Rhinolophus ferrumequinum: one gene and its partners. The protein of the gene in region 2 interacts with the protein of the main gene of each other region in a biochemical or structural test. Links are inferred from orthologs where the notes say so. Each region holds a gene or a part of one and is shown on either strand. Other genes may lie near its edges.

Region 1 (6,965 bases), on a different chromosome or scaffold from region 2:
GAGGAGGACGGTTGGACAGAGCCAGCCTACTGTCCGCCCGCCGCCCGCCGTGGCGTGAAGGAGTTCCGTGTGCCCAGCGTCACCACTGCCCAACCTGGGCTGCCGGAGCCTCCCCTCGGACCCCCGGTGCCCCCTGCCCACCCTCATCCAGCGTGAGAGCTCGCCTTCCGCTCCGTAAGTGAGGGCCTGGGCCCAGGCCTCTAATGGCCAGCCTCCCTCCTCAGTGCCTCCCTGCGGCCTGGGCTGGCCACTGCCTGCTCTACTGGGTGACGGGTGCCCGCTGCTCTGGGCAGAGAAGGGGCCGGGGATCTCCCCAGACCTGCCCTCCCATCATGTAACCCCCCTTTTCCCGAGACGGCTGATGGGAGGAACTAGGCCTATGGGGACAGACTCAATGGGGTCTGGGGTGTCCTGCTGTCTATTGAGGGGGGGCAGTGTTCACAGGGCTGTGTTGACCCAAGTCTGGTAGTCTGTGTGTGTGTCCATCGTCCCTGGTTTCCCTGCCTGCATCTTTGCTGTCTCTGTGCGTGTCTCTGAGTCTCTGTGGATTCCCTGTCTTCAGTGTCCATCTGTCAGTCTGGGGTCTGTGGCTGGGCCAGGTCAATGTTTGCTTCCCTGGGCAGGTACGTGAGGGGCTGTGATTCCCCTCATGAGCTGGAACCTGAGGCTGAAAGGCGACTGCAATGGAACCTGGAGGGTCAACCCAAGTACCCCTGGGGAAGAGGAGGGTTGAGGAGGAGGAAGAAGGGGAGGACTGGCTCACAGCCCCGTCCCCTCCTCACCTGGCCTCCCAGCCCGGGCTCTATTTATACCCTGGGTCTTCCTCAACAATGTCCAGGGGACCCCAGTGGGCTTTACCCTAGAGAAGCCAAAAGGAGACCCCCTGCCCAGCTGTCCCCCTCAATCTCTTTCACTCCCCCTGCAGAGGAGGTGCTGCTCCTGTTTTCCACTTTCTGAGGGCCCCTCCCTGATGTTAAGAGACAGTAGACCCCCCCACCTCCAGCTCTGGCAAATGCTGTTCTTTCTCAGGGCCTAGGGGTAGAGGAGTCTGCAACTAACTGTGCTTCTGGCTCTCTGTCCTCCCTCTTCACCAAGATTCAACCACAGAATCTCTTGGAAACCGCAGAACCCCTTATGTAGGGAGGGCCCCTCTTTTTCATGTCATATACGGAGAAACTGAGGGTCACAGAAGCTAAGTGACCTGCCCGAACTTGCACAGCAAATCCCAGGCAGATTCTGCCCGTTATTCCGCCCGCCGGCTGAGAGAGATGAGGAGTGGTCTGTGAGGAGTCTTCCGCCTGGCCCTCGGCCCCTGGGCTCGCAAGATCAAGGCCCCAGCTCCAACCAAAGCAGGAGGCCTTCTATCTGGGGCCCAGATGAAGCCGGCTGCAGCCAAGGGTCCGAGCCTTCAGATCTGGGCCTTTGGGTCGGTTGCGTCGCAGCAGATTCATAATTAATTGCTCTATTTCCCATCTTAGTCTCGCTGCTCTCAACAATCTACTATACCCTAGGTGCCCGAAGGGGGTGGGGAGCCGCAGGATGCCAGACGGCCCTCTTCTCCTGCGTCTCAGCTTCATCTGAAAAAAAAAAACACGACAGTGACCCGGCAGAGCGAGAGCTCAGCCCGTCCCCGCCCAGGGAACCGCTTGTGCCCAGGGCTGCCAGCCTCTCCTTTCCCCTGCCCCCAGACCCGTTGGAGCGCAGAACCAGAGCGGGGAGGGGTTTCTCCTGCCCCGGGCTCTCGACTCCCAGCTCCCGCACCCTCGTTGGCTTCGGGTCCTCACCAAACCTCGGAAAACTCGCAGGGTGGGATGACCACGATCCCCATTTCCAGCCGAGCAAACCGAGGCCCACCGAGGAGAAAGGGTTTGCCCAGGTCTCATGGATGGACACTACTGATCGCCTCGCAGTACACGCACGTGCTTTGTCATCACCACTGCGGTTCATCCGAACGACCATCCTCAAGGAAGGCCAATCATCAGTCCCACTTCACAGATGAGCAAACTGAGGACCGGAGAGGCGGGAGGTGTGCTTAAGCTTCCAGTGAGACTTGAACTGGTGCCTTGGCCACGGCCCCCAACGTTCGGCCTTACCCACCTCCACGCTGCAAAACGACTAGCGCCCCTAGTGTGGCCCTCGCCCCCACTAAGCTGAATTGGCAAACGGGCTCTCTTCCTCCCACCACCGGCCGGTGGCCCTAGGCTCCCAGGCGCCCAGCACCTGCCTGATGCGGAGCCGCTGGGGCTCCGCGGTGGGGGCGGGTTGGGGCTTGGGGTGGGGGGTGCGCCCAGAGGGTTAGGGTAAAGGCGCGAGCCCGGCTAGGTGGCGGGGGAGGGCGCGGGCCAAGCCTGGGGTGGGGAGGACGCCGGCCTGGCCTCCGCCCCCGGATACAGCACGCGCCGATATAGAGGGGCCGGCTTTGGGCCCGGGGCGGCTGGTTCGCTCGGCGCGCACTAGCGGCGGAGGGGCCCGGGTCCCAGGTGCGCGGTGGAGCAGCCCTGGAGGCGGCGGGGGCGGGGAGGCGCCTGTGGGGGGAGCGCCGAGGCCCCGCGCCCCCGCCTCCCCGCCCCCGGCCCGAGCGGCTGTCATCGCGGGCGGGCGGCGCTGCGCCCGGGTGCGGCTCATCGCCGGCGGCGGCGGCGGCGCGGCCGGGAGGTGCGGGACTCGGCGCGGGCGGGACGCGGGCGCTGCTGCTCGCAGGAGCAGCCAGGTGGGCGCCGCGCGGGCCGCGGCCGCCGTCGCGCCCCTTCTTGCTTCCCGGTCCGGGCTCTGCGCGCTTCCCTCCGTGGGACTTCGACTCTCTGCCCGAGGTCGTTCCACCGCCTTGGGCTCGGCCTCCGGGAGCCCGCGGGGTCTCCGCCCGAGGTCTCTGCGCCTGGCGCCGGGCCTGCGGCTCCCCGCCCGGCGCCCGCTGTCTCTTCTGCGCCCTCTCTTCGTCTCTCCGCCCGACGTCTCGGGCTCGGTGGCACGGGCTGCGCCTCCCGTCGCCGTCGCTGCCTCGGGCTTTGTCTCTCCCGGCCTTTGGGCCCTCTGTCCCGGGCGCCGTCGTTTTCCATCCCTCTCGGCTCGAGTTCCCGTCTGGGTCTGACTTCGCGGGGCCCCGCCTCGGAGCTCGGGCTCCGATCGGCCGTTTTCCGTGCGGCTTCAGGTCCCGACCACCTGGCTGGGCTCCTCCGTCTCTCCAGGTTTCTCTTGGCTCTCGGCGTGTCTCATCTGTCACTATGTCTCTGGTTCTGCGTCCGTCTCTCCCAGGTTTTCTCGTTTAGCCTCTGTCTCTCAGTGTCTCTGCTCTCTCTTTCTCTGTTTCGTTGTCTCTGCCTCTACGTCTTTCTCGTCTCTCCAGGTTTTCTCTGACTCGGCATCACTGGGTCTCTGTCACTAGGATTTTCGTGTCTGTCATCCTGGGGGTCCTCTCTCCGTTAAGCAGCGCGGGTCCGTGTCTCTCGCTCTCGTCTCGGCCCATCTCTCTGTCTCTCCCAAACTGTGTGCCTGTGTCCCTCGTCCCTGTCAGATCCCAAAACACTCGGGCCCCACTGCGTCCGGGTTCATTGGCATCTCCCGCGCTGCCGAGCCCATCTCATTTTCTCAGAATCGGGGTTTTGTTCTCTGATGAACGAATCTGGATGGAAACACATCGAATGCGAGGGTCCGCGCTGGGGCTCGGCGGGGGCAGCGAGGGAGGAGCCCCCAGTTGGGGAGGGGAGCGCGAGGCAGCCACGGGGACCGGGAAGGAGAGGCCGGCGCGGGGCGCGCAGGGCGCTCTAATGGGTGGCCTGCCTCGGGCGGCTTAGCCCAGGGCGTTGTCCCAGGGGCCACAGGCCGGGCAGGAGGAGGGCGCCGTGAGCGCGCGGCCGCGGTGCTGCAGCACCCCCGGGACTCAGGTCTGCGGCGCTGCCAGTCGCCGTCCCACCTGCGTTGACCTGACTCCTTCCTCCCTCCGCAGACGGACGCCGCGGGCATGGACTATTCGTACGACGAGGACCTGGACGAGCTGTGTCCCGTGTGTGGGGACAAAGTGTCGGGCTACCACTACGGGCTGCTCACATGCGAGAGCTGCAAGGTGAGCGGGCCGCCGGCCGGCAAGAAAAGCGCGGGGCGGGGAGGCGAGCGCAGGGGAATGCGGGGCAAAGCCCTGCCAGGAGGTAGAGAAGGGTCGCCCCCCACCACGCTGACTCCCCTCTCCCTAGGGCTTCTTCAAGCGCACGGTGCAGAACAACAAGCACTACACGTGCACCGAGAGCCAGAGCTGCAAGATCGACAAGACGCAGCGCAAGCGCTGTCCCTTCTGCCGCTTCCAGAAGTGCCTGACGGTGGGGATGCGCCTGGAAGGTGCGCGCGCCGCGCTGCGGACCTCCGACCCCTGACCTCCGACAGAGCGAGTGTAGGGGGTGGAGTGAGACAGGAGAGAAGGGAGGGCGCCGCTTTCTGGGGCCCGGTGGTTGGCCCCTCACGTGACAGTCCAGCGGATCTCTGCCGGACAGGGGTAAAAACTGGCCTCGGTCCGGCCCAGGTGAGGGATGTGTGCAGGCCCAGCCTGGGTTGAGCTGAGAAGTATGTGAAAGTGGACCCCAGAAAGATGAGCCTCTCCCCAGCCCTTGGGCGGGGTGGGCTGCACTGGGCAGAGCCCTGCAGAGCTCTTCCCTCTGTGAAAAGTTCTGCAACACCCCCACTGACATCTAGCACCAGCCAGAGCAAGTCCTCTTGGCTGCTCAATACCTTTACTGGAGTTCAAGTTCCAGTGCCACCACTTACCGGCTGGGCGACATTAAGCAAGTTCCTTAAGCTCTGAGCTGCAGATTCCCCATCTGAAAAATGGGCTTCGTCGCAGTGCCTTCCTCATTGAGTTAGTGAGAGAATTGTATGAAAAGCTCCTAATATCATACCTGGCAAACAGTAAATGCTCAACGGGTTAGCTTTATTATTATCAAGATTCTTTACGATGTTATCTATCCACCATCACTGCGCAGCCCTCACTCATCCAGCCTACCCATCTGTTCATGTGTTCATCCATCCAGAGGATTCACTCAGTAGGCAAGAATTCCCACCCTGTTTTTAGCCAGACCCTGAGGGCTTGGGCCTGGGGAACAATCTCCCCCACAGGACTCAGGCCCATTCTTGCCTCCCTACCCTCAGCCCTCAGTCCAGAGGGAGGAAAGACTCAAGCTCTTTGAGGGTGGACAGTCATAGGCTTCCACCCTGGGGGCCCCAGCTGGGCTTTGCACTGAGCAGGCAGCTGATGGCTAAAGTTTTTAAACAACATAGAAGGAGAGCTGCAGACCACAAGTTCTGCCACAGAGGAAGGACTCCTGGATGGAGGTCTCCTGGCCTGTCTCCAGAGCCCATGTCCCCAGATCCAGGTCCCCAGGGGCCAGGAGAGATGGTTATTGTGAGCAGCATAAGCCCCTAGTGGGGCCTGAGCTTTCTGAGGAGGGCAACCCACCCCTGTGGCAGGAAGCTTGGCCGGGCAGGCGCCCCAAGACACGTCCCTTGCTGAGTGTTGCCCTCTTCCTCTTACTCTTCCTTCTCCTGGAGCTCAGGATAGGGTACTGTCTGAATAGGGGCTGGGGCCACACTGCAGCTGCAGAGATGCAACATTTGGGTCTAATTGGTGACATATTCGTGGCCAGGCAGAGAGACATCTGGTCAGCAAGGGGTTCCTTCCCCCAGCACAGAGCCTGAGCTAACTCTAAACTCAGGTTCAAATTTGAAGGCAAATTTGAGTCATTTTGCAACAGGGTTTTGACAGTCAGTAAACAGCTAGATATTGGGACCCAGGTGTGAACAAGGCTGTTTGGGGCCCACTTCCTACCTCCATCTCCCTGCCATGCCCTGTGCCCAACCTGAACCTATTGGTGAGCCCCCAGAAGCTCTCAGCCTGGGTCACATGGCATGGTACCGTTCAGCGGGGTGAGAGTGGGCAAGAGGCAGGACATCTCGAGCAAGGACAGTGGATTCTGCCTGGGTGAATCCAAGAATACTTCATGGAAGTGGTGATCTGAGGGCTGCGTGTTCAGCAGGCAGAAGAGAAGGAAAGGGTTGGAGGCAGAAGGAATATCAAAGGCAGGGTAAAGACGAAGAGGAGCAGAGAGATGAGGAAGGTGGAGTGGAAAGAACACAGGGTCTCATGAGGGAGACAAGGCCTTGGGCGCCCGGCTAAGGAGACTGACTTCACCTAACGCAGAGGGAGCCATGAAAGCGTATTGACTTAGGAGCCACGAACGCGTATCACAGTTAGATCTGTTTGGGAAAGATCTGTGCGTGGGGCAGTACAGAGGGTGGTTTGGAGGGGGTGAGCCTGACCCTTGCCTCTGTCCACAGCTGTGCGTGCTGACCGCATGCGGGGCGGCCGGAACAAGTTTGGGCCCATGTACAAGCGGGACCGGGCCCTGAAGCAGCAGAAGAAGGCACAGATTCGAGCCAATGGCTTCAAGCTAGAGACAGGCTCCCCCGTGGGGGTACCCCCACCACCCCCTCCCCCACCGGACTACATGCTGCCCCCTGGCCTGCATGCGCCAGAGCCCAAGGGCCTGGCTTCTGGTCCACCTTCTGGGCCACTAGGCGACTTTGGGGCCCCAGCACTGCCCATGGCTGTGCCTGGCACCCACGGGCCCCTGGCCGGCTACCTCTATCCTGCCTTCCCCGGCCGTGCCATCAAGTCTGAGTACCCAGAGCCCTACGCCAGCCCACCGCAGCCTGGGCCACCCTACGGCTACCCAGAGCCCTTCTCTGGAGGGCCTGGCGTTCCCGAGCTCATCCTGCAGCTGCTGCAGCTGGAGCCGGACGAGGACCAGGTACGGGCGCGCATCGTGGGCTGCCTGCAAGAACCGGCCAAAGGCCGCCCGGACCAGCCTGCGGCCTTCAGCCTCCTGTGCAGGATGGCTGACCAGACCTTCATTTCCATCGTGGACTGGGCACGCAGGTGCATGGTCTTCAAGGAGCTGGAGGTGAGTACCTCCTCCTACCTG
Region 2 (7,023 bases):
TATTTCATTGCTGTGCCTGCCTTTTTCTCACACACTTTCGGCTGGTTTCTGTTGGTTAGTGGTGTTTAGCTATACTGTTATAACGACCACTCTATTTTCAGACTTTTTTTTAAGATCCAGTTTTCAGGATTTATTTTAGTGTAGAAATTGAGTGCCCTGGTTTTGCCAGTTCTTGGCACTCAAGCCCCACTGAAAGTAAAAGGCTCCAATCTCATTAGGGAAAACTGCATAGTAACCTGCAGACAGGGTGTCTAAACATCTTTATTTTAGCTCCTTAGACCTTTCTCAGTACTCAGGGCACTGCAGCACATCCTAACTGCTGCAGCTTCCAGCAGGTGACTGCCTCAAACAAACGATGGGGTGGAATTTACAGTCCTCAAGTAACTGGGTAGGGAGACTTGAAGAGCAAAACCCTGGGCCTCTTTATCCAGGAAGATGCTTGACAGGAATTAGCATAGTGGTAGTTCTGTGTTCTAGGGAAGACCATTTTTTTAAAAGCTTATTCAACCCCAAATGTATAGTGCTTTATTTCTGCCATATAGCCAGTTTACATTTTTAGTCCACCACCAGAGTTACTGGAGACAGTAGTTGTATCTACAATATGGTTAATGAGTACACAGTACATAAAATATAAACGTTGCTGCTTCTCTAATTGGCATAAAAGCCTAGATGCAAGAAAGTAGTCTTTATAACATAGTATAGGTAAACACCAGTAACCAACAAATAAAACCTGAGGTTTAACAAGATTTAGGTTTTCATTTTTAAAAATGTCCTTTAACGGTACTATTCAAGATTTCATTCATTCTCTAAAGCTGTGCTGTCCAACACAGCAGCAATTAGCTACATGTGGCCATTGAGCATTTGAATGTGACTAGTCCAAATCGAGATGTGCTATAGGTGTAAAAGCCACACTGGAGTTTGAAAACTTGGTGTAAATAAAAGAATACAAAATATCTAATGAATAATTTTTATGTTGTGTACACATTGAAATAATACTTTTGACATATTGGATTAAATAAAGTATGTTATTAAACTTAATTTTACCTTTTTATTTGTATTTTGAAATGTAGCTACTAGAAAATTTAAAAGTACATATGTAGCTTACATTTGTGGCTCAGTCTATATTTTTATTAAACTGTGCTTCTCTCGAGGCTGAGACTAACTACATCAGCGTGACTACACTGGAATTCGACCTGTACTTGTATATATTTTTGTCAGTTGTCATAGTTCATTAGTCACTAGTTCAAAGTTTATAATGTGGGTTCAATACTTCTGAATATATATTTTTGTTTTCTTCACACTGTTCTACTTTTAAACGGTGTTTGCCCTCTCCTGAGAACCCCTTTCCCACTTTGCCTACTTGGCAAATTCTTCTTACCTTTTAATAGTCAGTTGAAGCATTATTTTCTCTGTAAAATTTTCTCTGAACTCCCTTGTTCCACACCTGCACCCCAAGTAGAAATAAACACTCTGTTCTCTGGGATAAGACAGTATCTTGCCCAATATCTACGAAATGCCTACTGTTTGCTGAGCACAGTGATAGGTGGTCGAGGTATCCAAATGTGAACGAGAGGGATATGGACCCTGCGACTGTAGTGTTTGCATTTAGAGTGGGATACAGACATGTAAACACCAGGTCACAAAATGATGTGGAAAATGCTCTTATAGGAGAGATCAGGGAGCACATATATACAAAGCTCTCCCAGACTACTTCTTTGTGGATAAACATAGTGAGCCTGTACTATAAGTATTTGATCCCTTAGGAACCCTTGGTTCACAAAATACTTATGTTTTTAGGTATATAAACTGAAGGACATCTTTTTCACATCACCACTGGTTAAAATGAGAATTGTCTTTAAAACACAAATTACTGGGAGGGGGTTGGGAGCCTGGGTCAAACAAGTGAAGGGATTAAGAAGTATAAATTGGCAGTTACAAAATAGTCATGGGGATGTAAAGTACAGCATAGGGAATATGGTCAATAACATTATAACTGTATATGGTGTTAGGGGGGTACTAGACTTATCAGAGGGATCACTTTGTAAACTATATAACTGTCTAACCACTACGCAGTACACCTGAAACTAACATAATATTGAATGTTGAATGGCAACTGTAATTGAAAAAAATTTTTAAAAATACAAATTACTGAACAGGCATTCTTATGTTACACATATGCCCCAGTATCCTTGCAATGACTCTCCTAGCCAGAAAATTCAGGTATTAATTTTTTTAAAAACAAAGAACAGTAACAAAATGGCTCCAATTAGCATGATTAAGTAAAAATGAATTCCACAAAAGGTGTGCAATTTACTTAACATTAATGCACTATCAAAAAGAGATCAGGATTTCAGTGATTGGATTTCTGTGGAGTTGAGAGGATAGATTAATAATAAGAGGTGAATGGCGCTGTTAAGTCATGTGACAAGTGGCAGTAGGGTTTTTTACACGAGTGTTGAAGGGCAGGACTAATGCTTGGCTTGTTGGGTTAATTGTGTAACCTCACGCATTAGGAGGTTGTTTATCTACCAATCTCAATGATCCAAAACCTAGTTAGGAAGGAAAAAAAAAATGTTTTTCAAAGCAACATTTGAGCAGTCCAGATATCTATCCCAAAGTCTATGCACTAAGGTTCACCTGCCTTACTCCTTGGTGAGCTGCACAGAACCTATTTAGTTTTACTTTACATTGAATTGTGACAAGTGAGGCTATCTGGATTTCCCAGTCTGCAGCAGACTAGAAGCTGCAAATCGGAAGAGGAAGAGAATATCAGCGACAGACGTGTGCTGGCAACACAGAAAGGACAACAGATTGTTGGTTAGTGAAGGGGGAGAGAGAGGAACTATAAAAGGCAGAGATAATCACTAGGTCAGTGTCCTAGAGTCCTTTCCTGTAGCCATTGGTAGCTCACATACCTTCTGGAAGCATCCCTAACACCTAGGAAGAAGCCTTAGCGCACATTGAATGGGAACTTGATGTATTTGTTGAATGCAGTAGAACCTACTACGATAAATACTTTTTATAAAATTAACCCTGAATTTTCAAGAAAAAGCCAAAGGAAGTCCAGTAAATTGCTTAAGAGAAACATTGATGATACATGTTATAAAATCTTTGTACAAGTTAAAAAGAATTAAAAAAATAAAGTGACGCCTTAGAGGGCCAAGCTCTAATTATGCTGATCCTCACTTAATTTGAACAGTTTGCATCACTCCTGGATGAAGGATGTACTATACAACAGCAGACTTAGCACTAAGTTCCCTTGAGCAGCTTTCAAACTGCGGTATATGCAAATAATAAGCTATCATATGAGAATTAAACTATATAGGATCACAACAGATTGCAGTTGAATCACTAGGTGATGTAAAAGATTGTTCTAAAATTCACCATCACCATTAAGCAGAGTAGTCCTACTATGTGCCTAGCCCTACTATGTACTAGGTGCTGGATTTATTAAGCATTAATTTGAAAAACTGCTTTCACTTTTAAGATTGTGAAGATATTCCAAAACTCTCATTCATATTTTTAAAGCATAAATGAAATTTTAAATGCACAATACAGCCATTACATAACAGGCATAGAATACTGTTTTATGACTTGCATAGTTCTTTTTAAGCACACTAGCAACTCTATTTTCAAAAGCTATATGATTCTAAAGGATATGAAAACCTACATATAAAAACGGAGTGCCTCATTTGTTTTGTGTAATAAGTGTGATAACACAGGCATGCCATTTCGGAGTTTAGGGTGAGGCTTTAAGCCGTACTTTGGTGTTTCTATATCAAGCAAAAACAATTTCAGCAACAGCACTCATTTCCCCCTCGTCTTTTTTTTTTTTCCTGGCGAGTTACTAAATGCTAGATGCTAGAGTCAAAAAGAAACCTGACATCTGGGGAGGTGTTGAGGGGGTGTTAATAGTTATAGTTAGATGTTTGGGGAGCGTTGAGGATAAGATTTTATAACAGCAAATACAAGAAGGGAGAAATTATGATCTCTCCTCCCTCCACTTTCTCTCTTCACCAATCCATATTCCCTCAATTTAGAGGCGGGTTCAGCGAGATTAGGCTGCAGGAAACCCAGAGGCTCCACAGCGCTGCCGCCCGGGCCTCGTGATGTAATTGTTATTTCTTATTCCGAGACTGAACCGTGGAGAGCTGCCGAAGAAGTGGCAGCCTTGTTCCTTTCGCCTTGTCTGGCAGGGTCAAACTCTTCCCGGGGATGAGTATATTCGCTGACAAGACTCCGCTGGTGACTTCGCAGTGACAAAGCAGCTGAAGATAAAACCCTGCTCCTGGGTCCTTCGTCCGTCCAAGGAGCTGAACGGGACACTCCTCAGGTCTCCTTCCCAGTTTTCCTCTTGGAATCACTCCGCATTTATTCCTGGGTGCCTACTACGTGCTGGGCGTGGGGTCAAAGTGACCTGGAGTTAGTGCCCGTCCACCCTGTCCCCCTAAGATTAAAGCAGGACACACAGATCACAAGGTGGTGAAGTTGGGGGTGAGTGAGAGGGAGCCAAGGGAACGCGTGCTGTTGGGTGAAATGGGAGGAGGCGCCAGCACCCAGGCGGGGACCCTGGGCGTCCCGGCCCCCAGGCTGTGCCCCAAACGCGAGCCTTTGGCCTGTGTAACGAGAACGACGCCCCGGGCCCCAGGGAGGAGCTGTCCAGGCGCCTTCGGCAGTCGGGGGCGGCTGGACAGAGCCGGGAGCCCGGGGGACGGCTCGGGTGCGAGAGGCGCCCATCTCTCCCGGCCACCGCGGTCCTCCCGCTGCCTCGGGGCCCTACAGCCCCCGCCCGGCCGTTCGGAGGGCGGGCAAGGAGGAAAACAACACAACAGAGGGGGCTCCTCAGCTCCCGTGAGCGGCCGGGACCCGCGTGGCTTCCTCCGGCCCCGTGACAATGGGAGGGAGGGGGAAAAAAGGGTTAAGAAACTTGGCTGAGGAGCTGAATGGCGTGGAGCGGCGAGGGGAGGGACTGGGCCGCGGCGGACTCGGCGGCGGAGGGAGGAGCGCGGCTGCGGGCGGGCGGCGAGTGAGGCGCTCAAAGTCAGCCTCGCAGACATTGCAGCAGAGCCCCGAACTCGGGAGGCGGCGGCGGCGGCAGCGGAGAAGGAGGAGGAGGAGGCGGCCGCGAGGCGGAGGGACGACCCGGCCCCACGCCCGCCCGCGCGCGCCCGCCCGTGGCCTCGCGTCCGCCGCTGCGCTTGGCAGCGCTGCGGCTCGGAGGGAAGAGCTCGCCCGGGCGCCGAGGGAGGACGGGGCGGCAGGGCGCCTTCGTGGAGTGAGCCTGACGGAGCCCGAAGCTCGGAGCCGCGGCGGCCTCGGGTGAGTGGCGGCCGCAGCCGGGGGGCTCGGAGGAGCGGCCGGCGGCGCCGCCGGAAACGGCTCGGGAGCGCGGCCCGCGGCGGCGGCGGCGGCGGCGTTGGCGGGCAGGGCCGCGGGGGCGTCGGGGCGGCGAGGCCAGCGCGACCCGCGGCGAGAGCGAATGCAGACAGCGGGGAGGGCTCGGCGGCGGGGAGGAATCGTTTCCGGGGGAATCCCGCCTCTTCTGCCGGCTCCGAATCTCCCCGGGACCTCGGGGGGCCCGGGCAGCGGGGCCGGCAAGTTGTGGAGTTGGCCCGGGGCTCACTGGCCGAGCTGTGCCAGTCCTGGGTCGAAGGGCGGCCGTGTGCCCTGCGAGCCCGGCCAGACGCGGGGGACCGGGCCGGGGTCGCGCCCCGCTCGGCTGCCCCCTCGGCCCCGAGTCTGGGGCGCTTCTCGCCGCGCAGCTGTAGGTCCTGCTGCCCGGGGCGTCCTGGGCGGCGCCGGGCGCCGCTCCCCGCCTATCGCCCGGTGCCTCCCTGCTCTGAGCTTGCCTGATTCCCGGCCAGGAAAAGTGAGTAGGAAAAGGGACAGCGCTCCCAGACCCCCAGCCCCACGCGCGGCCCGTCGGCACTGTCCTTCCCCCTCCCGAGTGCGAGCGCCCTGGACCCGAGGCCTCAACCATCAGCTTTACCCCTGAGCCAGAAAACGGACTCACATTTAGGGTGAGCCCGTGGAGATCTTGGGAGCCTTCTTTTCTCTCCCCCTTCATCTATGTTCTCCTTACTACTAGTGATTGTTGTTGTTTTATGAAGGGTTTCCCTGGAAATATTCCACAAACCCTCCCATTCTTTCCAAAATAGTTGACAAATTTTCATCAAGAGTTGGTTGGTGTTCAGTCTGAAGGAACAAAGGAATCAACTGTGCCTGAGAGGCGAACGAGCTGGGAGTCAGTGACACATGTTGATCTCTGAAGCATTACGGGAGTTTCTACCTTCTGTCCCATTAGTGACTTAATAGGCTTCTGGGGATAGTAAAGTAACAGAATGATAAATACTTTTGAGTTTTTAAAATATTTTTTAATAGGACATTTTATTTGGAGGCAAAAAAAAAAAAAAAAAAAAATTCCCAGCTCCAAGGACTTTTCACTCACTTGGTGGAACTGAGTTGGAGTTTGTTTCCAGTAATGTAGAAGATTAAATGTGAGATTGTACAGGAAAAACTGTCTTTAAGGGAAGGAAGATTGTCTATAGATGTCCAAAGGAAAAATGATTGTCAGTTTTTATATGATAAATTCTCTTTACATTTTTGGGGAGGCATTTCTGAAGTAAAGGGCTTTGGTAATTCATTCTTTAAAGTTATGAATTGCGTTGAACCTGCTTATTAGTGAATCATAGGTTTAGCAAGTGGGTGGCATCTTCCTGATGTAATTATTCAATGTTTAATCACCAGTTTGCTACCTTTGTTGAAGAGACACTGAAGTAAGTGGACGTTTTAAACAAATGGTGCTTCAACTGCTTGGCACCTAAGTGTGGGTTGCTGCCTGGAAGATGTTGAAATATTTTTCCTTCGAAGTAAGTTGTACTGGTTTTGCTCAGCCATTTGGTAATGTGGATTGGGTTTAACTGGTTCAGAGACTAGTGGATTCATGACCAGTAGTAACTTTTCTCTGCCTGCAATTAGTTCCTGGAGACAAAGAAGAGGCAGTCAATGGAACAGCCACTGTAG
Region 3 (7,703 bases), on a different chromosome or scaffold from region 2:
CAGAGACAGCCTTTCCATGCACCACCTCTTCCCTCCACACCACAGTAGCTTCTTAGGACCCACAAGCTCTCTGGCTTCCCCACAAGGGTGGGACTCCATGATAATCCTCCAGTGCATGAGAGAAGAGATGCTGATATCCCCTTCGGATGTGCAGGGAAACTCTCCCCAGAAAGTGTCCCTCTCAAAACCCCCTTTCACTCCACTTCCTTTTGCTGTCTGTTTCTTCTCCCTCAGCGCTGGTAGATGCTGAGCTCCCACCTCTGCTCTCTTATCCCTGAGCCCCAACCTCCTCATCATGTTGGCTGGTCTTGCTGGGAAAGGGGTCTGGCTGGAGAAGAGGGGCAGATGGAAGCCAGGCAGGTAGTGACATGGCAACACTGAAAAGTTTCTAGCAGAAAAGGCTAGAATAGGCTTGGGGTGGAGTAAGAGGCTGTGAGGAACAGGGTTTTTGGTACTCAAGGGGTTGGAGACATTCCTTATCTAGGCTAGAAAGAAGTATAAGGACAAGTGGTAAGAGTCTAGATCCAGAAACACTGAAATACTTGGCAAACATATAAGGCACAGAGGGAAACTGAGTCAGTCTCCTCCCCTAATGGAATATTTTCTTTTGGAAGCTTGCCTGGGTCCCCCCACTGTGGGGAGTTAATTGGCAGCAGATGGATGGGGAAAGAGAGTCATTCCCACGCACTCATACAACAGCTGGCTCCAAAGCAGTTCCCTCGCCCCACCAGTCCCTACATCAAAATCCCTGCTTTCTATCTATCTGGGGGAGGGAGGGAGGATGGGGGAGAGACCTACATGGTGGCCCCAACTCAGGAACAGCCCTGCATCCCCTACAGTTTCCTATCTCTGTCTTCCCACTGACCTCACAAGAAGTCAAGAAAAAGACCAGCCAGAACAGTAAAAGGCAGAATTTGAACCATCCTTGGAGTAGTTTTCTAACACCCTGAAGGACACCTTCCCTCTCCATACTCCCAGCGCAGAGAAAAGAGATACTATGATCCTTAGGCCTGGACAGTGGCAGAGAAGGAGGCCAGCCTGCCATTCCTTCGCATTGCCCCTCCCACCAGGTCCTGAGAGCCACTCTATACTCTTGGCCTCCATACCAGCCTGGCCCACGTGTCCTTTAACTGGATGGGGAGGGCTGCGGTATGGTAAGACCCAAACTCTACGGTAAAGAAGATAGTCCCTTACCTCCTCCCTCCTCTCTCCTCTTGGCAAAGGCTGGATGAGCAGGTTCTGTGTGGGAGTGAAACCAGAAGCTGGGAACTTTAGGGGATCCAATACCTGGCACATATTAAATGCTCAAAAAAAAAAAAAGTGTCAAATGAATGAATAAAAGCAGGAGAAATCCTGAAAGACGTCATGGAGAAGGTGTCAACTTTTCCCACTTCTTGCCTCAGCTACCAAAAGCCAGGCTCAGCCTGGCCTGAGTCCCTTACCTGGCTCCCTTTTTTGTGACCCATAACCAGGGTATCTGATAGGATAAAGATGATTGATGAGAGGGCATTAAAGTGTCTACTTTACTTTTAGCAGTGCAACTATTTGCTAATTCCCCAGGCTGTCTCTCATCTCTGCCAGCCACTTGATCCCTAGCTCCCATAAACTGTCCCCTCTTTCTTTCCTTTATTTCCACCATCTTTTCTTGATTGAGAGATCACTAAGGGGGAAGAAACACCTGGGTTTTAAATTCTCTTAGCTGGCGGTACCTTAGTTTCCTCTGCTGTCTTCCCAGAACTCCCCAATAAGTGGGGCTGTGTCTGCAGAGTCAAGGGGTCTCTGCTGGACAGCTTATCACTTGCTGCCACCATCCAGGAGGTCAAAATGAGTTCAGGGAGTGGAATTGTTGAGGCCCAGGCCACAGAGCTAGTGCCCAGACAGGCTGGTTGAGGGCCTATCCCTTGTTTCCCCAAACTGCCTGGGGCTTCTTGGCAAGAGAGGAGCATGCTGTGTGGGGTCTTGGCTTCAAGGCTTTTGGGGGAAGTTCTTCAGAAAGATATCTAGATCCCTGGTTTCTAGGGGTGGGGCCCTCGAGAAATCTTGGGGTGCTTCCTAGCAACAGTCTGGGAGGGAGAAAAGGAAGAAGGAAGAGAGGGAGGGGCCTGGGCATAGCTGCTCTGATGGGAGCCCAGAGAACAGGCTGTTCCTGCTGCCTCCATGGCAACGAAAATATAAGAGGGAGGGGGCTGCCAAGCATATCCCCTTGGAGGGTCTCTATCCATCCTCACTTGTGCCCCACCTTCCTGTTCTCCCAATAGACAGCCCTGAAGCAGAGGTGGGGGGATGGGAGGAGACAGCCCAGGTGAGGATTTCATGGTAAGGAAAGAAGAGGAGCTGGAGATGAAATGACTCTGAGAAGAGCTAGAAACTTCAAGAATTGGGGCGTAGGTAGGGGTGGAAAGGGCCATGAAACACAGGGACAGGGGCTATAAGCCCGGACCTGGGCTGGGACCTGGCATCTGGCCAAATGTCTACTTTAGAGGCAGTGTGCCCTTCACTTTGCCCTTGCCCAGGTCTGTTAGCAGCCCTTATTGGGAGCCAAGGACAGGGAGAGAGGTAAGGAGAAGATAGGAATGGTGAACACTTGTCTTTGAGTTCAAGGTGCCCCACTGTGCCTTTGGGGTAAAAAAAAAAAAAAAAGGTAGATCAGGAGGTATTTCATTTTCTATGGCTCTGGGTCTAGGATTTCAAAAAGTCTCCTTCACCCAGTATCTTTAAGGCCTTTCGTCATAGAGAGATGTGGTAGGGGAAGCCAGAATGGAGGGGAGACAAAACCATAGTACTGTCATCTTCCCTCGGGACTCAGTCACCCTGCCCTAATTAGATGACAGCTAGACCTCTCCATTGCCTCCTGGTTCTGCCTGATTGATGCAGAGCATAAATGTATCCCATGCTTTGGGATTCTCTCCCCCGACTCCTTGGGCTGCCCAATCTCAAGAGACTATTTCCACACAGGGTAGAGCGTGCACCCTGAACGCTGCACACCACAGCTTTGCTCCCCAGGGTTTCAGCGAAACCCGATCACCCAGGAGGTGGTATCAAGGGCAGATAGCTACCCTCAATGCACCTCACACTGCACGCTGCAGCCTTCTGCCCCACGCTGCAGCTGTTGCATGTCCACTGTGAGCCCAGGCCGAACCCACAGGTTCACTGACTGCATGCTGACTCTGCATACTGCAGCCTCCATTCCCTACTGCAGCTGCCACAACTCCACACTGCAGGCTCCCTTCACCCATGGCATACCCCTCATCACCAGCACTCCACTCTGCAGCCCCAGGCTTTCATCCCAGCGATGCTTCTCATCCCCATGATTCCAGCGGGTCCCAAGAGATGCTCCATCCCCTCCCCATGCACGGTAGACCCCAATGCCCCCTGTAAGCGAAGTGGCTGCAACAGAGATGAGGATGCAGGTGGCTGAGACTGAGATGAACCAGGGCAGCCCAACTCAGATAGGCTGTTGGTCAGAAGCCCCACACTTAGCAAGTGATTTTTGTAGAACAGCTCCCCCTTCACATACACACACACACACACACACACACACACACACACACACACACTCCAACAGCAGACTGTGGAAACAGGGCCCAGCCCTGAAAGCCGTGGGAAGGCTGTGGCCCCCGCTGGTAAAACTGGGCTAATGACAGCAGGGGAACCGGCGGGGCCAGAGGGGGTGCTGGGGTAATTAGAGCTCTGCCTGGCGCTCGGAGATCCCGAGATGAAAGGGGCTCTGGCGTCACTGGGATGGTTTTATGTCCATGAGTGCAGGTGTGTGTGTGTGCAATGGGGTGGGTGGGAGCTGGATGGTAGGGGAAGGGCATCCATTTTTATGCAGGCTGCCTTCCTTAAATTGGCCCTGATACCATTTGGATTTTGGTGGGGGTAAACATGGAAGGAAATACCACCTCTGTGAAGCTGAGAGTTGATGGGGTAGAGCAAGTCTTGCCCCCTCCCCAGCCGAGCAAGAGGACCAGATTGTTGAGGAAATGGCTGATGACAGTGAATAAAAAGAGCCTATATTGAAATAGGGTGACATTTGAAAGGGGAGGCAGTGGATCAGGTAATGATGTTAGAAATGAGAGGGGAAGGAAGCGAGTAAATGGCGAGTAATGGCGAGTAAAACTCCAAAAGAATTTAAAACATAGATGATTGAAGTTAAAAGGACCTCAGGGGTCACCTGCCGAACCCTGGTATTTTAAGGTTGAGGAAGCTCTGCCCCCGACAGCAGGGGTGATTTGCTCAAGGTCACACAGTGAGTTACTGGCAGAGAAGAGACCCGAACTCAGAAACAAACTCGAAACCTCCAAGGGTTTGGTATTTAGACTTTCGCCCTACTTATAAGGTGCAGGCGTCTCGTCAATACTCCCTTCTCCATCCCCATGGTGCAAACACCAAAACCTTCCATTCTTCCAGCAACTGAAGACTATTTTTTAAATGACATCTTTTTCAAAATATGTCACCCAGTATCACTCCTGCCGGAGACGCCTGGAGTGGGGAGGGCGAGTCCGAGCTGGGCGGGTGTAGAGGCGGCCGAGGGGCGGCCGGGCGGCTGGCTGGCCGGGGTCCCGGGGCGCGGCGGGGGGCGGGGGGCGCGGGTCGGCGGCGGCAAGGCGGCCTGCAGGGAGCAGCCGCGAGCCGGCCGGGCGCGCCGAGCAAGAGCCCCAGCCGGAGCGGGGCGGGGGAGGGAGGAGCCAAGAGCGGCCGCCGCCTCTGCCGGAGGAGCCGCGGGGCCGCCACACTCGCCCCCCGCCCCCCCGCGCTCACTCGCACTCACACCCGGGCGCAGGAGGCGGGCGGCCCGGGCCCCACCGGCCCCCCATGGACGCCCCCGGCACGGGGCGCTGAGACCCCGCGTCGCTCTCCAGCCCTGTCCAGCGCGCCACGCCGAGGTAAGGGGGAGGGAGCGAGGGGGGTATTAATATGCAAATACCTCACGATTGATTATGCAAAGCCACAGGGCTCTCTGGCCAGCTCCCGGCGGGCTGGGGGCGTCCGGGGGGGACCCGCCGCCAACCTTAGCCTGCCCCCGACGCCCCTGAGACCCTGTCACAACCCGGGAGCTTGCAACTTACGCCCTGAGGAAGGGAGGTGTTGCTAGGAGGTCGGTGGGCCCCAGGGTTCGCCGGCGGAGATGGCGTCCAGGCCTCCCCCTCGAGGGCCCGCCCGGCCTCTGTCCGGCCCGTCTGCTGCGCATTCCCGGGCCCGGCCCCGCTGCCGGCCGCCGAGCGCCCCCGCCCGCCGCGCCGCGCCGCGGTTTGTTTACGGTGCGCGGGAGGCCTGCCCCTCAGCCCCCACCCCTAGCCTTCCAGGCCGAGGCCGAGTGGCCTTTGCAAAGCTGCCTCCAGCTGCGGAGGGCAGTACGTGTGGCGTGGGGAGTGGGCTTGCAAGGGTCCCGGGAGAGGGAAGCCCCCCCCTCCACCCGCCTCCCCAGTTGAGCATGGCTCTCTGGTTGCAACACTCCTAATTGCAAAAAACGCGGCTGGGGGTGGGGTGGAGGTGTGTGTGTGTGTATGTGTGTGTGTTGGGGGGGAGTGTATTTGAGGGTCCCCAGATGATTAGAGTTGCAAGCTAGGGTGGTTGGGGAAGAGAGGGAGGAAGGGACCTGTGTTGTGTGTACCCCCCCTTTTCCCCTCCCCTTGCAACGTGTCTCCTCTGGTGCCCCTTCTCTGTCTGGGGCCCTCCCTTGTCCCGTGTGAAAGAAAGGCCTGGGGAGGGGGGCAGTGATAGGGGCAATGGAGAGAGCCACTGTTTCCAGGGGTGGAGGTCGAAGGAGGGCAGCCAGTGGGATGGTAGCCCACCCCTCAATGATGGCTCTGGCCCCAGGAGGGGGAAGGGATGAAGGGGACTGTTGTCCAAGATGAGAAGGGAAGCAAATGTGACATGCAGACACCAAGATATGCCCACATAGACAGCCACATGCACACCCAGGGACACCCAGGCGTACTCAAGGACAGGAGCTACTGGACACACCCACATGGGAACAAGGGAAGTGGCAGGCTGCTGCTGCACTGGGGAGCTCAGAGGGATGGGACACACCCACGGGAGACCGACCCATGCACATACCTACGCACAGGGTCACACGGAGACGCTGTCACACACAGGGGCAAGGAGGAGTCGCTGTCACCCACACAGAAAAAGTCACTATCGCATGCATACATGAACACAGAGCAATTGCACACCGCCGCACATTACAAAAGACCCTGTCACTCACAGGCACACACGTGCTTGCATGAGCCCAGTCACACAGGCATCAACGCCTGCCGTGACAGTCGCTGTTACTCAGTCAAATGCAAACGTAGTTACACATCAACACATGTATACACAACTTAGCAACAAGTATTTTCCTGGACTTCTACTGTGGATCTCTGAGGTTCTGTATACAACAAAACCCCTGCTCCCAAGGAAATTAAATTTGTGTGAAAAGACTTTCCTGCGTAATGGTGCAAGGCATGCATTTGTGATAATGTTCTCCGTTGCTTGTTATCCCACCCTACTAGATAGTGAGCTTGAGACCTGGCAGAATCACTCCAAGAGTGCTGGATCCCACCCAGAGCCTAGCACAGGAAGTGCTCTGTAAATACTTGTTAATGGATTGACTGTGGGAACTCCGGACACAGGTGCACTGATTTGCACACAGTCCCAGGGACTCAGGTGCAGAAGGTGTTCACAAGGCGCAGGTCCACAGTCACAGGTCCAGGTCGACAGTGGTGTCCAGACAACTCCAGACGCACACCCCTAGATGCACACATAGTCATGGACTTTTTCCCTTAAGTTTCCTTCTGTCTTCTTCCTCCAGGCTCAGCTTTTTTTTTTTTTTTTTAAGGGACAGAGAAACTAGAGCAAAGAGTAGGGGCAGGGGGGTTCCAGAGGGCCGAATCACAGGCCTGAAGCAGTGTCCAGTGACTTCCAGCAGCTGGGATTATCCTGGCTGCTGAGGGAGTGGGTGCTGCAGTCCTTATCCCCACCCTAAAAACAAATGGTGGGGCAGATCTAGCTGCCCCTGCTGGAGTCATTTGTCTGAGCCTTTTCTGGGGGCCTTTCACTCACCCCCAGCTGAGTTCCTGCCTCTCACCCTGAGTCTGGCTCCTTTTCCCACCTCTGCCCTCCTGTCTAAACTTGGAAGCTTTCCTTAGGAGGCCGTATGCTGGTGAGTGTCTGGGTGAGTGATGTGTATTTTTGACTTGGAATTTCTCTCTAACGCTGTCTCTCTGTTGCTCTGTCTTGCTGTGTCTGATTCCCTCTCCTTGTTTCTCTGCCAGACTATAACTCTCACCCTGTCGCTACCCCTGTCTACCCCTGTTCTTGTCTGTTTCTGCCACAACCTCCTTTCTGAGCTGGGAACTGGCAGTGATGTTCTTCATAGTTTTCCGGTTGTTAATACTCAAACCCCGCCCCCCAGTCCCCGCCTGCCCTGTCTCTGGGGTCATCGAGAGGTTGGGGTGGGGGGCGGGGGGCTCAGCTGGCTGTTCAGGACATCCTGCACTTCCTCAGTGCTGCAGCTGCAGGCCAGCAAGTTTTGGGGGCTGGGAAAGGGGGGAAGGGAAAGGGGTCACCAACTGCCCATGCTGACCTCTCAGGCTGGCAGGCTCTGCCAGGAGACACCAGACCAGTGGAAGCTGGATGTGCAGGCCACATCCAACTAGCTCCTAACCAAGCCAGTGAGGAGCTCCCTTCCACACTCACCCACTGGAAGAGAATCACCCCCA
Region 4 (7,594 bases), on a different chromosome or scaffold from region 2:
ATGATAGGAACTAAAACACTTTGCTGAATGAAATGAATGAATGCATGTACTGTGACAGAATAGGTATAGCATTCATTCTGATTGTATTTCTTTATTCTAGAACAGCTATTTATAACAGCATTGCTAAAATGTATTTCTTTTTTTCATAATATTTAGCAGGAATAAGGAACCCATAGACATACTTCGGCATCTGAAACCTCAGAAAGCAATCTCACCTCAACTAAATAAAAGGATAACATTGCTTTTGATAAGGCAAGTCAAATATTCTTAAACTTTTATAGGCAAATTAATTGTTATAAGGAAAAAAACTCATGTTACTACATAAAAATTGCTAATAAAAAATTTAAAAATTTAGCGATGGCCACGAATCACACCTCGAAAACTATGTTCTATAATGCTGATATTAGGAGTAGAGAGTGATAGTTTCTAGAAAGTGGCAAGTCACTATACTACAACGATTAATTTTATTGACACACTAAGCAAAAATGTTAAGGGAAGTGTATGGTGTCACTATTAGAATAAAATGAATTCTAAAAATCTTATCAACATTCTATTTTAATCTTGGTTATACAAAGATTCATTACTTAACTAAGAATGGAATATAACAAAGCATTATATGATTTCTGGATAATGAAAATAATCTTAAAGTCAAACAGAATATAAGGGTATGTAAGTAGAACAAAATAAGAGAATGATTGTACCAAATAACCAAAAACCTTTAAAAAGGTGGATTTAATTACAGTGGCCAAGACATGGAACCAACCAAAGTGTCCTTCGATAGATGACTGGATAAAGAAGATGTGGTATATACACAATAGAATACTATTCTGCCATCAGAAAAGATGAAATAGTACCATTTGTGACAACATGGATGGATCTTGAGATTATTATTCTAAGTGAAATAAATCAGACAGAAGAAGTTGAGAACCATATGATTTCACTGATATGTGACATATAAAACTGAAAACAACAAAGGAACAAGACAAACAAATGAAGAAACAAAAACTCATAGACACTGAGAATAATTTAGTGGTTACCAGAGGGTAAGGGGGGAGTGGCGTGGTAGGTGATGGTAAACAGTATCAAATATATGGTGATGGAAGGAGAACTGACTCTGAAGTGGTGAACACACAATGTGATGTATAGATGATGTATTACAGAATTGTACACCTGAAATTATGTAACTTTACAAACAATTGTCACTCCAATAAACTTGAATAAAAAAAAAAGTGGACTTAAAAAAAAACCGCAACAACACTGAATTATTATAAGGTTGATTGATGAGACTTCATACATACTAAAATCTGGCTCTCTCTGAGGCTATCATTTTCCTAAGAGTTCTCCCAAATGGTGCCTAATTATTTTCTCTCATCACACATCCATGATACAGGGTTGATGTCCACCTAGTTCCCTGTTGCCACTTCCCAGAACCCTTTTACTTTATGGTCCTGTAAAATTAAAACAAAAGCCATCAACCCATCAACCACAAAACACACTATTCCTTTGTAGCTCATGTTGTAACACCCTCCTCATCACATCTCCTTTATCTTTCTGATCCTAAATTACTAGCCTACGACATCTCACCCACCATTCTCCTCTTCCCCAGCTTTTGTAGAGGAGTTCTCCGCAAACTTTAGGTACATTTGAATCACCTAGGAGACCCTGTTAAATTTAGACTATGACTCAGTAAGGACACCCAGAGATTCTGCATTTCTTATCACTCCCATGAGAAGCTGTGGACCACTTTGAAGAGTAAAGCACTAGAGAGTCTATTTCTGCTATTATCTAATCTACTATAATCCTAATTCTCTATTTCTGCTTTGGCACTTATTCCCTCCTGTTTTTAATATCTATGGTTCCTTTTCTGCTCCTTGTCTTTCTTACAGTCAGTCTCCCTCAACTATTTAAGCATCACGCATTAAAAAAAAAAAAAAAAAAAAAAAAAAAATCTAGTTTAACTCTTTACTCCCCCTAGCTACCATCCTAGGTCTCACTCTTTCACAGCCCAAATTTTCAAAAAAGAAATTGTGTTTGCCAATGTCATTTCATCTTCAATTCAATTCTGTACCCACTTCAGTCAGACTTGCAGGTCCATTAGTCCACCAACATAGTATTCACAGAAGTCACCAATGACCCCACGTTGAGAAGCCAAAAAAGACATTTTCAGTTCTCATCTTATTTGAACCTCTCAACAGCATTCAATACTGTTAGCCACTCCTGACATTTCTCTACCTTTTCCTCCATGACACAATAGTCCCCTTACTCTTCTGTTACCATTCTAGCAAATCTTTACAATCAGTTTTACAGGACCATAAACTTCTTCTATCCAGCTAATAGTACATATTGAAGTTCTTTGGGGTTCCATACTTCTTTTCCAGTATATATTCACACCCTACAATTTCCATGCTCTCAGCACCTAAATGCCAATGACTTCTGAATTTGTCTCAAGCTTATACATCTTTGTTACAAACCTGTATATTCTATGGTCTACTTAATATCTTCTCTTCGATGTCTCAAAGGTACCTCAAACATGAGATCCAAAGCTAAGTTAATTTCCCACTAGTACATGCCATTGTCACATAGCTAGATACATAATCCAGAAAACTATTATTATGTTTTTGACATGTCCTCTTCCCTCACTGTCATAAATACACTCCATTTTCGAAGACCTCCCAAATATCTATGGAATCTATTCAGTTTTCTCCATTTCCACAATCACCCATCCTAGTATCAATAATTGTCATCTCTTGGTTGGGCTACCGCAAATGGTTTCCTGAGGAGTGTTACTTTTATCCATTCCACTCTGTTGCTCCCTCTTTAATTTGTTCTACACCCTGCAGATATGGTGATATTTTTGAAACACAAATTTGATCATTTGTGCCTGTCTCTGCTGATCATACTGAACTTGTTTTAATCCTTCATACCTGCCCTCCTTCTCATTAAAGGGATGTTGCTTGTACTATTTCATTGGCTTGGAATGTTCTTGCTTTCCCTTCCTTTCTCCTACGATAGCCTACTTTATCCTTCAGACCTCAGCTCAATCATCATTTTTTAAGGGAAAGCCTACCTTTGCTTCAATGAGTAGGTCAGATTTATCTACTAGAAAATCATACTGAATCATGTACTTCTCCATTACAGTATTCCCCAAGAGCATGGTAAATTTCTGATTTGTTCACCATGGTCTCCCCACAATTCCTGGCACATTGGAGTTCCCCCGCAAACATCTATTGATTGAATTAATGTGTAGAGGGGATATCAGGTGAGGAATCCTGAATGGTATGGCATTTGAGCTGGTATTATTGAAGAATAAGGTGGAGGTAAATGAATTAGGGATATTGCAAATAACAAAATTTAATAGTTTTTGCTGGGGTATTTATATATAAGTGGTAGCAGAATTGAAAATGATTCATAGGTCGATCGGGAAAATGGTAACACCAATGAAAAAGTTTCAGCTAAAGAAAATGATGAGTTAATTTATTGATGCACTGAATTTGCAGTAACAAACTGACCAGGTGGAAACGGCTTGAAGACATTTTAAAATGTAGGAATGGATGTGGTATGAGATGTCACCCAGATATCTTGATCTGGATGCCCTTCTGCTCCTGACACACAAATATACAGTTAACCACACAGAAAGAGTCAAAAATCCTGGAAAAATTTGAGATTACTCTCTCTTCCCCTATTTCCTTATCCTTTTCTATCATCTGTATTTTCTCTCTTTTCTCCATTCCACTGCCACTTCCGTGGACTTGCACTGGATTATTTCAACAAGCTCCTAACTACTCTCACCGCATCAAATCTTGATCTCCTTGTAATCAATCTGGTTTGCACTTTCCTCCCAGGGTGACTTTTCCAAGACACCAGAAAGTCAATCTCCTAGTAAGTATCTAAAAGGCTTTCATTGCCTACAGAATAAAATTTAGACTCTTTACCAAGGCTTTATGATTTGATCCTAAATTCCTGAACTGCACTTCTAGCTCCTCTGTCCAACCATACCACACTACTTATTATGTTCCAATGCCTCATGCTTCCCTTCTTCCTTGCTTCCTTCTTTTCAACCTAATTGAAACAAAGTTATTCTGGCTAGGAAAAAGATATTGTCTAGTACACAGACCAAAAAAAAAAAAAAAAAACACCAAAAAAACAAAAAACGAAAAAAAGAAAAAGAAAAAGCCAAGGAAACTGCCAGCTTTCAAATTCCAACTCAAATGTGGGCTTCTGAAGCCTTCCCCTCTAGGAAAATTGAGGCCCACAGGTTATCTGCCAGTTTACTGTAAATCCTAGCCAAAAGTTAGCTGAGTCACTGTCTCTCATATAGGTGAAGTTAAGCTCACTATTTGCCATGTCTATCCTTTAGACAGTATAGCTATGAAGAACTTGGCTATATGTAATTTGTTGTCACATTTCTTTCCAGGCTCGAAATGTGGCCACAGAATCCTCCCCTTGACCTCAAGAAGATGGCTACGGAGAGACATCGTTACGTCTTACGTCACTACGTGCTGAGAAGGTGGGGCCCTCAAGGGAGGGGGTGAAGGGCGGGGCCAAGTTGGGTGGGGCGGGGCTAGAAGGGGCTGGGCGGCTCTAGAGAGAGAGGTCGGGGGCACTTCTGCAATTAAGCTGGTGCGCTCAGCGATAGGAGGACACGCCGGGAAGGTCCACTTGACATTCTGTCCCGGGCGCGTGCCCGGGACCACCGGCTCAGACCAGGCGCAGCTGCATAGCCGAGCGGAAGCTGGTGGCACCGGGAGTGGCGTCCAGAGCTCGAGCTCCACAGGCGGGAAGCACCCAGGATTGGGGAAGCCCCGGGAGCAGCGCGGCGGCGCCTCCCTTACCCAAGGACCCGCGACGACGGTCACGGGGCGCGGCGCCACCGTGCGCGATCCGGGCCGGCATTCCAAACAGGCGACCCAGGCTCCTCCTCGGCCCGGCCCGCCTCACCTGCGGGGCAGCGCCGCGCCGCCTCCGCGGCTGTAGACGGCACCTGCGCTGCGTCTCTCACCGGTCTCCGCCCGCCGCCCGCCAGGAGCCAGGCCCGGCGGCGCACCTGGACGCGGGGGCTGCGGGAGCCGAGGCTGAGAGGGCGCGGTGTCTTCCCGCCGCTCCGGGAGGACGCAGGTGAGGCGGGCGCGGCTTCGTGGAGCCGGGCGCCGGCCGCCGCGGCCGTCCCAGCCACAGGCGGGTCCCGGAGCCCCGGCCGTCTGCGCCCGCTCCCGGGGAGGAGCCGCCCGCGGTTGGGCACCATGAACGGCAACGGCGCCAACATCACCTACGCCAGTCGCAAGCGGCGGAAGCCCGTGCAGAAAACGTGAGTGTCCGGAGCTCGCCCTCGGTGCGGGGGCTGGGCGCTCAGGCGCGCGGGGGCGAGAGGCGGCCCCACCCCGCCCCCAAATCCCCGAGGTCTGGGGATTAGGTCCATTCCTGACACGAGCGGTGGAATCGAGATTTGGGGGCGGGTCGAGCGACCCAGGCCTTAGATTTCTTTCCCCCATTTTTTATTGTATGTTAAAAAATGACCCCCGTCCCCGGCGCGCACGAACCCTCTCACACCCCCGGCCATTTGCAGCTGTTTTCTGTGGTCCTAATTTGTTGACAGCTCTGGTCTGCCCTGTGGGGCTGGTGGCTTATTTAGCATAAACCCCTCTTGAAATCCCCTTCCATGTTTAATAACCTCTACGGTTAGAGGACGGTCATAATTCTCATTCCTGGTAAAGCGAGGTGTTTTAAAGAGCTGACCGTGTGCCACTGCAAGAAGGGAGCTCAAGTGCTTCTGAAGGTATTTCTTGGTCAGGTGTAATTGGCATTTCGTTGCACTTTTGTTTACTTATTTGGCAGTGATTTTGTAGGGCTCCAGATGGCCGTATCGGTAAACTGTATAGAGATGGTAGCAGGTGTGAGTGAGTCTGGTGGGCAAGGTCCAGTGGGGGGATTCGATTTTTCAGCTATCTTTTTGGGGAGTTCCCGCTTTTGCGGTGGTTTTAGGGTCTGTACAGTACAAAACAGATTTGGAACTGGACTTAGTGAAACAGACGTTTTCATTCTTGATATCTTTCTCTAATTCCCTTTTCCCCCTACTTCAAAGTTTTGTCAGTTCTAATGGAGCGATTCCAGACAGATTTTTTTGTTTGCCTTGGTGGGATATTTGTGTGAGATAGCAAATACTTTAAAATAATTTTTTTCAGAACAATAAATCCTGGTTGAGACAGATTTACTTTTGTGAGTTGGCTGTATTCATGTGTTTATTCCTTGTTATCTCTGAGTTACTTCACGTTTTTCAAATTTTCATAAACAATTTTAAGAACACATTACAGATTTACTCAGAGCAAACTAGAAGTGTGCATTTTGCCTAAAACTTAACTTAGACCACGAATCCAAACCAGAAAAGTAGTTTAAGCTTTATATTTAAATCCGCCAACTGGTGTAAGAGTTTAATTATTCTGGAGTTTTAACTTTCTTTTAGAATTTCAATATGAAGAGCATATTGAAGAGCATTCAGGTCTAGACTTGGCGTTAACAGAGGATATTCATCTATAAAATCGACTGATTAAAATTTAGAAGTCTTATGCTGCAGAGTGGCTGACAGGAATACTGCCGAGTCAGCAATTTTTTGTCTTGGCAGTTCTGGGACATTGATTTACAAACTAGCAAAAGTAGAGTGATTTGTCTAATTTGGCTTTGTCCTTGATGGCTAAAGTTGAGAGGCATTGCAAATGCCTATTCTATGTATTTATTAATACAGTAGCACACTTACCATAATTTATAATAGAGACATCATGGACTTTTTTTATATATAGTCAGAAAACTTGGAGATCTCCCTAGTGGATTTTTAAGTTACTGATTTTTTTTGTCGTGTGTTACAAAAAGGCTTAGATGACTTAAAAAAAAAAGTCATATACCTTATTTTTGTATTCATTTTTATAAAGTTTAACATTTTTGACTTATAGATAACATTTTATTAAAGATCTTCCCTTTACACATACTGCATTTTCCTTTTATTTTTATGTAAGCTGTATCTTTTATCTTAATATTTTAATATATTTCCTAAGACTTTAATAAAGTTGCATGTAATAATCTCTTGTAATACAGTGTTGCTAAAGCATTTTCCACATTACCCCTATTTTATTTTATTTAGTATAGATGTTTATCAGATATTTATTGTGCACCATGCATTGCTTCTAATCATATAAATGCCTTAAAATGTCACTTCATTGCTCCATAAGAAAAGCCTAGTGCTGGCATTTACAGAATCACATGAAATTGTTTACAAATTAGTTTTGCCTGAGTGAAAAACGGTTAGCTTTATAATGCAGTTAATTAAAGTTCATTTTAGGAATGCGGCCATAAAATCTAATATTAAGTTTAACATGGATATTTTTAAGTTAAATTACTATTTGTAGCTAATGGGGTCTAAAATAATGCCAACATTGTCAGAAAAACACATCTTTGCACTGAAAATGCTTTTGAGATTTAACTTTGACCTCTTAAGTGAAAGCTATTTTATTTTACTTAAAGAGAGAATATGTTGTAGCATAATTATAGAGCTGTTGATAAGACAGCCATCTAAATATATAGTTCTATAAAATTTTGGAATCAAGTC

What was found.
Region 1: the proteins of NRIP1 (region 2) and NR5A1 form a complex in vitro, tested with the Homo sapiens proteins (2 studies listed by BioGRID). The link is inferred for Rhinolophus ferrumequinum from reciprocal best matches to the Homo sapiens genes NRIP1 and NR5A1.
Region 3: the proteins of NRIP1 (region 2) and THRA form a complex in vitro, tested with the Homo sapiens proteins (4 studies listed by BioGRID). The link is inferred for Rhinolophus ferrumequinum from reciprocal best matches to the Homo sapiens genes NRIP1 and THRA.
Region 4: the proteins of NRIP1 (region 2) and AHR form a complex in vitro, tested with the Homo sapiens proteins (2 studies listed by BioGRID). The link is inferred for Rhinolophus ferrumequinum from reciprocal best matches to the Homo sapiens genes NRIP1 and AHR.

Annotation. Positions count from the first base shown.
Region 1 is NC_046295.1:74,340,968-74,347,932, reverse strand, and holds the start of NR5A1 (steroidogenic factor 1), read left to right. Parts: upstream 1-3,950; 5' UTR 3,951-3,958; coding exon 3,959-4,060; intron 4,061-4,187; coding exon 4,188-4,329; intron 4,330-6,318; coding exon 6,319-6,944; intron 6,945-6,965. Other genes in the region: translation initiation factor IF-2-like, read right to left, coding at 2,198-3,233, 3,366-3,463. UniProt on the Homo sapiens protein: Transcriptional activator. Essential for sexual differentiation and formation of the primary steroidogenic tissues. Binds to the Ad4 site found in the promoter region of steroidogenic P450 genes such as CYP11A, CYP11B and CYP21B.
Region 2 is NC_046285.1:11,293,668-11,300,690, forward strand, and holds the start of NRIP1 (nuclear receptor-interacting protein 1), read left to right. Parts: upstream 1-4,022; 5' UTR 4,023-4,333; exon of another isoform or gene 4,334-4,494; intron 4,495-5,128; exon of another isoform or gene 5,129-5,319; intron 5,320-5,543; exon of another isoform or gene 5,544-5,869; intron 5,870-7,023. UniProt on the Homo sapiens protein: Modulates transcriptional activation by steroid receptors such as NR3C1, NR3C2 and ESR1. Also modulates transcriptional repression by nuclear hormone receptors.
Region 3 is NC_046304.1:36,563,738-36,571,440, forward strand, and holds the start of THRA (thyroid hormone receptor alpha), read left to right. Parts: upstream 1-4,684; 5' UTR 4,685-4,886; intron 4,887-5,069; exon of another isoform or gene 5,070-5,226; intron 5,227-7,703.
Region 4 is NC_046303.1:21,923,129-21,930,722, reverse strand, and holds the start of AHR (aryl hydrocarbon receptor), read left to right. Parts: upstream 1-4,582; 5' UTR 4,583-5,240; coding exon 5,241-5,305; intron 5,306-7,594. UniProt on the Homo sapiens protein: Ligand-activated transcription factor that enables cells to adapt to changing conditions by sensing compounds from the environment, diet, microbiome and cellular metabolism, and which plays important roles in development, immunity and cancer.